Callithrix jacchus: one gene and its partner. The protein of the gene in region 1 purifies or fractionates together with the protein of each later gene. This does not show direct contact. Links are inferred from orthologs where the notes say so. Each region holds a gene or a part of one and is shown in the gene's direction. Other genes may lie near its edges. The genes, in order: CARM1 and SMARCC1.

The links.
Region 2: the proteins of CARM1 (region 1) and SMARCC1 purify together in Homo sapiens (affinity purification with western blotting; 3 studies listed by BioGRID and IntAct, with this or other methods). This does not show direct contact. The link is inferred for Callithrix jacchus from reciprocal best matches to the Homo sapiens genes CARM1 and SMARCC1.

The regions. Positions count from the first base shown.
Region 1 is NC_133523.1:10,039,624-10,043,525, forward strand, and holds the start of CARM1 (histone-arginine methyltransferase CARM1), read left to right. Parts: upstream 1-1,420; 5' UTR 1,421-1,531; coding exon 1,532-1,754; intron 1,755-2,194; exon of another isoform or gene 2,195-2,392; coding exon of another isoform or gene 2,393-2,414; intron 2,415-3,902. UniProt on the Homo sapiens protein: Methylates (mono- and asymmetric dimethylation) the guanidino nitrogens of arginyl residues in several proteins involved in DNA packaging, transcription regulation, pre-mRNA splicing, and mRNA stability.
Region 2 is NC_133516.1:30,460,963-30,464,864, reverse strand, and holds the start of SMARCC1 (SWI/SNF complex subunit SMARCC1), read left to right. Parts: upstream 1-1,272; 5' UTR 1,273-1,373; coding exon 1,374-1,571; intron 1,572-1,721; exon of another isoform or gene 1,722-1,915; intron 1,916-3,902. UniProt on the Homo sapiens protein: Involved in transcriptional activation and repression of select genes by chromatin remodeling (alteration of DNA-nucleosome topology).

The DNA.
Region 1 (3,902 bases):
CCACTTGAGGTCGGGCGTTTGAGACCATCCTGGCCAACATGCTGAAACCCCATCTCTACTACAATACAACAACAAAAGTTAGCTGGGCATGGTGGTGCTCGCCTGTAGCCCCAGCTATTCGGGAGGCTGAGGCAGGGGAATTGAACCGGGAGGCAGAGGTTGCAGTGAGCTGAGATCGCAGCACTGCACTACAGCCTGGCCGCAGGGCGAGGCTTTGTTTTTTTAAAAAAGGAAGGAGGCGTAAATGAGGTTTCGGGGAGAGTTAAAGCTGGGGTGCTGGGAGGTGGCCCAAAAGGGATGGGGCCACCGAAAGTGAGGGGGGATGCAGAGAGACACAGGGGTTTGTGTTGCGGGAGAGGGTGCCAGCGCCGGGCTGGGCTGGACTTAGCATCTTTGGAGGAACGGCTCAGAGAGGAGGGGGTCAAGGATATCTTGTGCGAAAGGAGTTAAACTTTAAGGATGGGCCGGGCATGGTGGGAATCACGCCTGTAATCCAACACTTTGGAGGCGAAGGCTGGCGGATCACCTGAGGTCGGGATTCAACACCAGCCTGACCAACATGGTGAAACCCCGTCTTTATTTAAAAAAAAAATTTTTTTTAATAAAAAAAATAAAAAAACTTTAAGGATGAAGAAGGGAGTGTGGGGGGCAGAGATGATAAGGAAGGAAGGAGGGGCGGTCGAAAGACGGGAAGAGGTCCTTTCAACCAGGCTTAGATTGCGCTAGGAGGCGGAGGCCCTTCGGAAACGGTCGATGTCGGGGAGACCAGGAGGCGGGGCCACAGAGTGGGGGCGTGCCCCGAGTGCTGACCACGCCTCCCCCCCAAGCCCGTTCCCAGAGCGGGGCGCCTCACAAAGCGAGTCCGGTCGGGAGGGCGCGGGCAGGTACGGGGCATCGTAGCGGCCGGGCCCCGCCTCCCTGCGGGCTGCCTCACAAAGCCGGGCGGGCCCGGGGGGCGGAGCCCGGTGTCAGGGGCGTGTCCAGGTTGGGGCCGGGAAGCCGCATCACAAAGGGCGGCCGTTCATGCGGGGCGGGGTCCAGGGCGGGGTTCAGGGCGTGTCCGTGCGACGGAGCAAAGCCTCTCCGTCTCCGCGTCTCCGCGCCCCCGCGCCGCCTTACCCAACGCGGCCGTTAAGGAGGCGCGGGCTTGGGGGCGGGGCCCGGGTCTCCGACGGGCGTGTCCGCCAGCCCGAGCACCGCCCCGACGCACACTCCTGCCCCTCTGTTCCGGGCGGCGGAGCCACCTCACAAAGCGGCGACCGTTCTCGCGGGGCGGGGCGGTCCCGCTCCCTGGCGCGCGCTCGCGCGCTCGCTCGCTCCCCGCGCCCAGGGTGGCCGGCAGGGGGCGCAGCACCACGCGGCCGGGCTGCGGCAGCGGTGGCGGCGGCGGCAGCGAGGCGGAGCGTGGCCGGCAGGCGGCGCTGCCCGGCTCGGCCTCGGCCTCGGCCTGCACGGCGGCGGCGGCGGCGGCGGCGGCGGCGACCTGGGCCCGGGCGCAGCGGCGACGGCGGGGCCTGGAGCCGGATCTAAGATGGCAGCGGCGGCGACGGCGGCGGTGGGGCCGGGCGCGGGCGGCGCGGGGGTGGCGGGTCCGGGCGGCGCGGGGCCCTGCGCGGCCGTGTCCGTGTTCCCCGGCGCCCGCCTCCTCACCATCGGCGACGCGAACGGCGAGATCCAGCGGCACGCGGAACAGCAGGCGCTGCGCCTCGAGGTGCGCGCCGGCCCGGACGCGGCGGGCATCGCCCTCTACAGCCGTGAGTGCGGGGCCCCGGGGCGGGTGCAGGGCCGGGGTGCGCACGAGGCCGGCTCGGGGCGGGGGCCGGCAGGGAGGGGCCCGGGGCCCTGGCGTGGGGTCCCAGGGGCCGAGCCCGTGGCCGGCAGGGAGGGCGCGTGGAGGGCGGGTGCCAGAGATCAGACAGAGAAAAGAGGGCGTGCGTGGTGGCCGGAGGGGCGAGGTACCCGGAGTGAGCAGGGAAGCGGGAAATGGGGAGTGAGGGGCCTGAGATTTGAGAGGGGAGGGTGGGCAGGAAGTGGGGGGCCCTGAGTGGAAGGGGAATTTGAAGGAAGCTGGGCATGGGGGGCTTAAGCGTGGGGTAGGGAGGCTTGGGGTGCAGGAGAGGTGGGCGTCTCGGGGGCGGGCGTGGCCGCCTCTGCAGGGAGCAGGGTGGGGCGTGGGCGGCCCGGAATTCTCTCTGGGGACCCCTGGACAGCTCAGGACGGTCGGAAAGTGTTTGCTTGCCCGGGAGGACCGAGTTCCACCCCTGTGAAAGGCATGGTGTTTAGGACCCCCGAGAGGGAAACTTCGGGACCTGGGGAGAGGACCCATGCGTGGACGGTGGGAGCCGCAGGATGAGCTCCTGGTGGAAACGTGAACTGGCGGGGCCCCTTCCTGATGCCGGGCTTGGAAGTAAGAGGTAACACAGCTCTCTCCCATCCCTTCACCAGGGATGTGAGACGCTGGTTACATTTTCCGAAGCTGCTTTCAAAACTGACATTTCACGGGATGGTGGGGCGGGAGAAAATCACAAATGTTTTTGCCGCCCCCACCGCCCCCGGTCTTTGTAGTTCATTCTTCTTGTTATTCTTCTTATCTCTTCTCTTTGATTCCTGGTTCACATTTTGCTATTCTGTGTCATTTGGCTTTGTCTCTCTGGGCTTCTGGCACTGATGCCCTGGTGAGCCCCTCAGGAGGCCTCTAGCTGGCTTGGGTCCCGTGTGAATTTTTTGCCACTTTGGGAATGGGCCGATTAACGGAAATCCCGAGGAGCAGTCGGTTCACACTGGGTTTTCCCTGAACCTCGACTTTGAGAACGTGGACTAAAGGAGCCGTGTCTGCTGCACAAGGGTGCCGTCTCTTTGCTGGGGCAGAGCCTGGGTCTTCTTGAACCAGATGAGGAGAGGGGAAGGAGGATATTTCAGGGGGGCTTTCAGAGTTCAAGGCAGACACTCAGCTCAGTAGAACCCCAGATCACAAACAAAACCTATTCATTGGTGAAGAATTGGTAGATAGTTCTGTCCTGAACAGAACAAAGTGGGGGAGCATTTCTAAAACTAGGGTCCCGGAGCTTATCCTCAAAGGAGTTCCAGGAGAGCTGGCTATCTTTTTTTTGTTTTGTTTTTTGAGAAAGATTCTCACTCTGTCTCCCAGGCTGGAGTGCAATGGTGCTATCTCGGCTCACTGCAACCTCCACCTCCTGGGTTCAAGCAATTCTACCTCAGCCTCCTGAGTAGCTGGGACTACAGGCCTTCGCCACCATGCCCAGCTAATTTTTTGTATTTTTTTTTTTTTTTTTTTTTTAGTAGAGATGGGGTTTCACTGTGCTGGCCAGGCTGGTCTTGAACTTCTGACCTCATGATCGGCCCGCCTCAGCCTCCTAAAGTGCTGGGATTACAGGTGTGAGCCACTGTGCCCGGCCCTGGCTATGATTTTTAAATAAACCTTTAAGTTTTTTTTTTGGACCAGGCACCGTGGGTCAACACTTTGGGAGGCCAAGGTGGAAGGATCACTTGATGTCAGGAGTTTGAGACCTGGCTGACTAACATGGTGAAACCCTGTTGTCTCTACTAAAAATACAAAAATTAGCTGGCCAGGGAGGCACGTTCCTGTAGTCCCAGCTACTAGGGAGGCAGAGGCAGGAGAATCACCTGAACCTGGGAGGCAGAGGTTGCAGTGAGCTGAGCCATTGCACTCTAGCCTGGGAGACAGAGCCAGCCTCCGTCTCAAAAAACAAAACAAAACACAACTTTTAGAACAGTTTTAGTTTTTTTTTTGTTTTTTGTTTTTTTGAGATGGAGTTTCGCTCTTGTTACCCAGGCTGCAGTGCAATGGCGCGATCTCGGCTCACCGCAGCCTCCACCTCCCGGGTTCAGGCAATTCTCCTGCCTCAGCCTCCCGAGTAGCT
Region 2 (3,902 bases), on another chromosome or scaffold:
GGGGTGGTGGTCTAGAGCTTTTGGGCTCAAGCAATCCTCCCGTCTCAGCCTCCCAAAATGCTCCGTGCCTGGCCAATCATATCTTGTTTTATTTATTTATTTATTTATTTATTAATTATTTGAGACGGAGTTTCGCTTTGCCCAGGCTGGAGTGCAATGGCGCGATCTCGGCTCATCATAATCTCTGCCTCCCGGATTCAAACGATTCTCCTGCCTCGGCCTCCCTAGTAGCTGGGATTACAGGAGCCCACAACGATGCCCGGCTAATTTTGTATTTTTAGTAGAGACGGGGTTTCCTCCATGTTGGTTAGGTTGCTCTCGAACTACTGACCTCAGCTGATCCGCCGGCCTCGGCCTCCCAAAGTGCTGGGAGTACAGGCTTGAGCCAGCGTGCCCAGCCTCATACCTTGTTAATAATTAATAATCATTCTGCTTCTATGTGGGCCATTCATTAATTCATCAAGTATTTACTGTACATCTTATTCCTTGTCCCAGGTGTTCAGGTTACACCTGTGAACAAGTCAAGATTAGGTTCTCATGTAATTTATGTGGAAGGTGAGAAACTAGAAACACCGGATCGTGGTGAGCGCTACGAGAAAATGTGTGGTTGAGAATAGTTATTCAAGATTTTAAGATCTGACGACTTTCTGAAGTGCTTTGAAGCAGTGAATTTGAATGCGTCTCTTAAGTGAAAATCAGAAGGGAAGACCTGTTGGAAGTCTCGGAAACAGCCGGTGCCAGGGCCCCTGGGGCAGGAATGAGCCGCTGTGGCTGGAGCCATGAGGGAGGGGAAGGTCTGTGAAGCCATTAAGTTCAGGCATGGGCATCCCAGATGGCTGTGCAAAATGCCGCGGGACCGCTCCGGGTGGAGGGTCTGCCGGAAAGCTGAGCCCAGCGCAGTCCCAGTCCGCGCGCAGGGTCCTCGGCCAGCACTGGATACCCTAGACAGGCTTTCCTCTCGGCACTTCTCGTACCAGGCCTTTTCTGTCCAGCAGAGCAGGCGATGACACAGAACCCACCTGCGGTTGCTGACCGCATCATGATTGGACGTCTGTAGCGAGAGAAGAGCAAGGAGCTCAAAGACCCGCGCTCAGTAAGCGAGAACGTCCACAGCCTACGGAGGCTGGCGGAAGAGGCGACTGGAAATCGTTGCAGGGCCGCAGAATAGCTGCGCATGCGTGTGGGCGGGCTCGCGACGGATACGGCGCCAGTCCGGAGATGGGGCGGGGCCGGGCGTCCGCGCCGGAAGGGGGTTGGCTGGGCGGGGCCGGCAGGCGGCGGTGGCGGCTACGCGCGCAAGGGCGCGCGGGAGCGAACGGGAAGCACCGCAAGGGTCGGGGTGGGCCAGGCGGTGAGGGCGACAGGCGGCGACGATGGCTGCAGTAGCGGGCGGCGGTGGCGGCCCAGGGGCAGCAGTAGGCTCCACGGGCTCGGGTGCTGCTGCGGTAGCAGCAGGCCTGGCCGTTTATCGGCGGAAGGACGGGGGCCCGGCCACCAAGTTTTGGGAGAGCCCGGAGACGGTGTCTCAGCTGGATTCAGTGCGGGTATGGCTGGGCAAGCACTACAAGAAGGTGGGTTCGCGCGCTCGCGGGGGCCGACAGACCACGCGACTGGGGCGGGAGGCGGCAGCTGGCCTCGCGGGCCCCGGGCCGCCCCTCCCCCTCCGCGCGCCACGAGGGACAACAAAGGCAGGCGCTGGGCCCGCCACGCCCCCGCCGTCCGCTTTCGGCGCCCGAGCGCCCGGGGCTTGACGGGTTCGTGGCTCGCTCCTCTGAACCCACGCATTCCTGGAGAAAGCCCTTGCTCATTCTCGTGTGCCAGAGCAGGTCGAGCTTAGCCACTGGGAGAGTGTGACTTTCTTTCGTCAGCTGCCTTAGGTGTCTGAACAATGATCCCTAAAGACTGAGCAAGCGTGGTAAAAGCTTTAAGTTTTGTTATAGAGAGTATTCAAAGCCTCGAGGGGGTTTGCTACCTGTTGTTGATTTCCTAAACAACTAAACTGGGATGACTATATTCGTTAATTACTAACAGGTTAATATGAATTATATAGGATGGATGTGAACTTCTATTAAACAACGGTTTTTACCTGATTATACTTCTGGTTCGGTGTGGTGTGAGAGTTAATGTTCATTGTACTTAAGGGGTTCTTCAGGGAGGCCTTTCCCGAGAACCCAGTTTTTATTAGAGCACTTTCCTTATGTTACCTTTTTTTCTTTGTAATGTTTACCAGATTTTGAAATCAATTATTCATTTACTTATTTCTCCTACCTTTAGAATGGAAGTTCCGCCGAGTCAGTAGTTTTCAAAGTTTTGACTTAATCCCTTGTTTATAAGAAATGCTTTTTTAAAAATTTCCCCTTTGTGTAAATATTCAGGAAGAGTCCCTTAAAGGGTGTAATGAAGCAGGTAGCCAAAAAGCCTCCTCCAGCCTCTGAAATTTTCCCAGCACCCTCTTCAGTTCTGTACTTTTCCCCATTGAGGATCATAGCACTAAAGCAAAGGCTTTGTTCACTGCAGTGTATCTGGGAACGTCGCTGATACTTACTGCCTTACCCTGAATAGCTGCTTAGTAAATATTTGTTGAATGAATGAAAAGATAAACTGGTTTAGGAACCTATTTATTTGGCCTCTAGAGCTCAGTGAAGCCTGTCGGTGTTGGGCAGTTATTAGGCATGGGCAGGGATCTTGGGTTCCTTTGGCATTACACGTGGTTTATTCAGAAGTGACCATTTCTGGCCAGGCACGGTTTGGGAGGCCGAGGTGGGCGGATTTTGAGGTCGGGAGTTCGAGACCAGCCTGGCCAACAAGGTGAAGCCCCGTCTTTCCAGAAAAAATGCTAAATTAGCTGGGTGTGGCGGCACATGCCTGTAGTCCCAGCGATTTGGGAAGCTGAGGAAGGAGAATCTCTTGAAGACAGAAGGCAGAGGCTGCAGTGAGCCGAGATGGCGCCATTGCACTCCAGCCTGGGTAATACAGTGAGACTCTGTCCCCCTCAAAAACAAGAACAAAAAAAAAAAAAAAAAAAAAGGAATGACCGACCCTCCCTCCCTCCCTCCTTTCTCTCTCCTCCCACGCTCCTTTCTCTTTCTCTTTTCTTTCTTGAAGGTTAGCTAGAAAAATTACATTTCTTATCTGAAGTTTGAGGAAGTGAGAGACAATAATTGTATTTTTAGGTGCTTAGATTTCCCCTCCCTCTGAAGTTATATTTAGACTGTACATTTTTAAGAATATTGCCCTTTCTTAAACAGTGATAAATTGGTCACTTTTTAAATGTGGGTAATAGAGCTTCTAGAAGTGGCTAATGGAATTGAATATGTTTTCCTTTTAGCCAATGCTTTGGGTCTTTTTTTTTTTTTTTCTCATCTAAGCTTTGGGTCTTTTATTTTTTTTAATTGAAGCACACAGGTGAATGTGCTTGGGTCTTAAATTCAGTGGAGATTTAACAAAGAAAAGTAATCTAGAGGCATATTCCTTTGAATATCAAGGAACAGAGTAGAAAAAGGCAAATTTCAGTAATTTCTACCTCTCCAGACTCTTCAGTGTGCATCAGTTTGGGACCAACTACAAGAAGCTTTAGCCATGGATAATCCTTCAGGCATTTGTTTGGGCGGGTAGGGAAGTGGCTACAAAGCAGTTTGAGGAATTGCTTGGCAGTATTGAGACCACCTGGGTAATGTTGACTCACTGTACCTGAGACTTTATAGACAAAGTTACCTTTGACCTCTCTGAACTTGTAAAGCCAGAGAGTATTTTTAGGGTCTACTCAGATTCAGAATCATGTATACCTTAGGCTTGACAGCCAGAATCTTTTCAGTCTCTGGGTGTTACTGTTAAAGTGGTGAAAATACCATCAGAAGGTTCTTTGATTCTTTTCTACACAATGCATTTCTATTTGGTTAAAA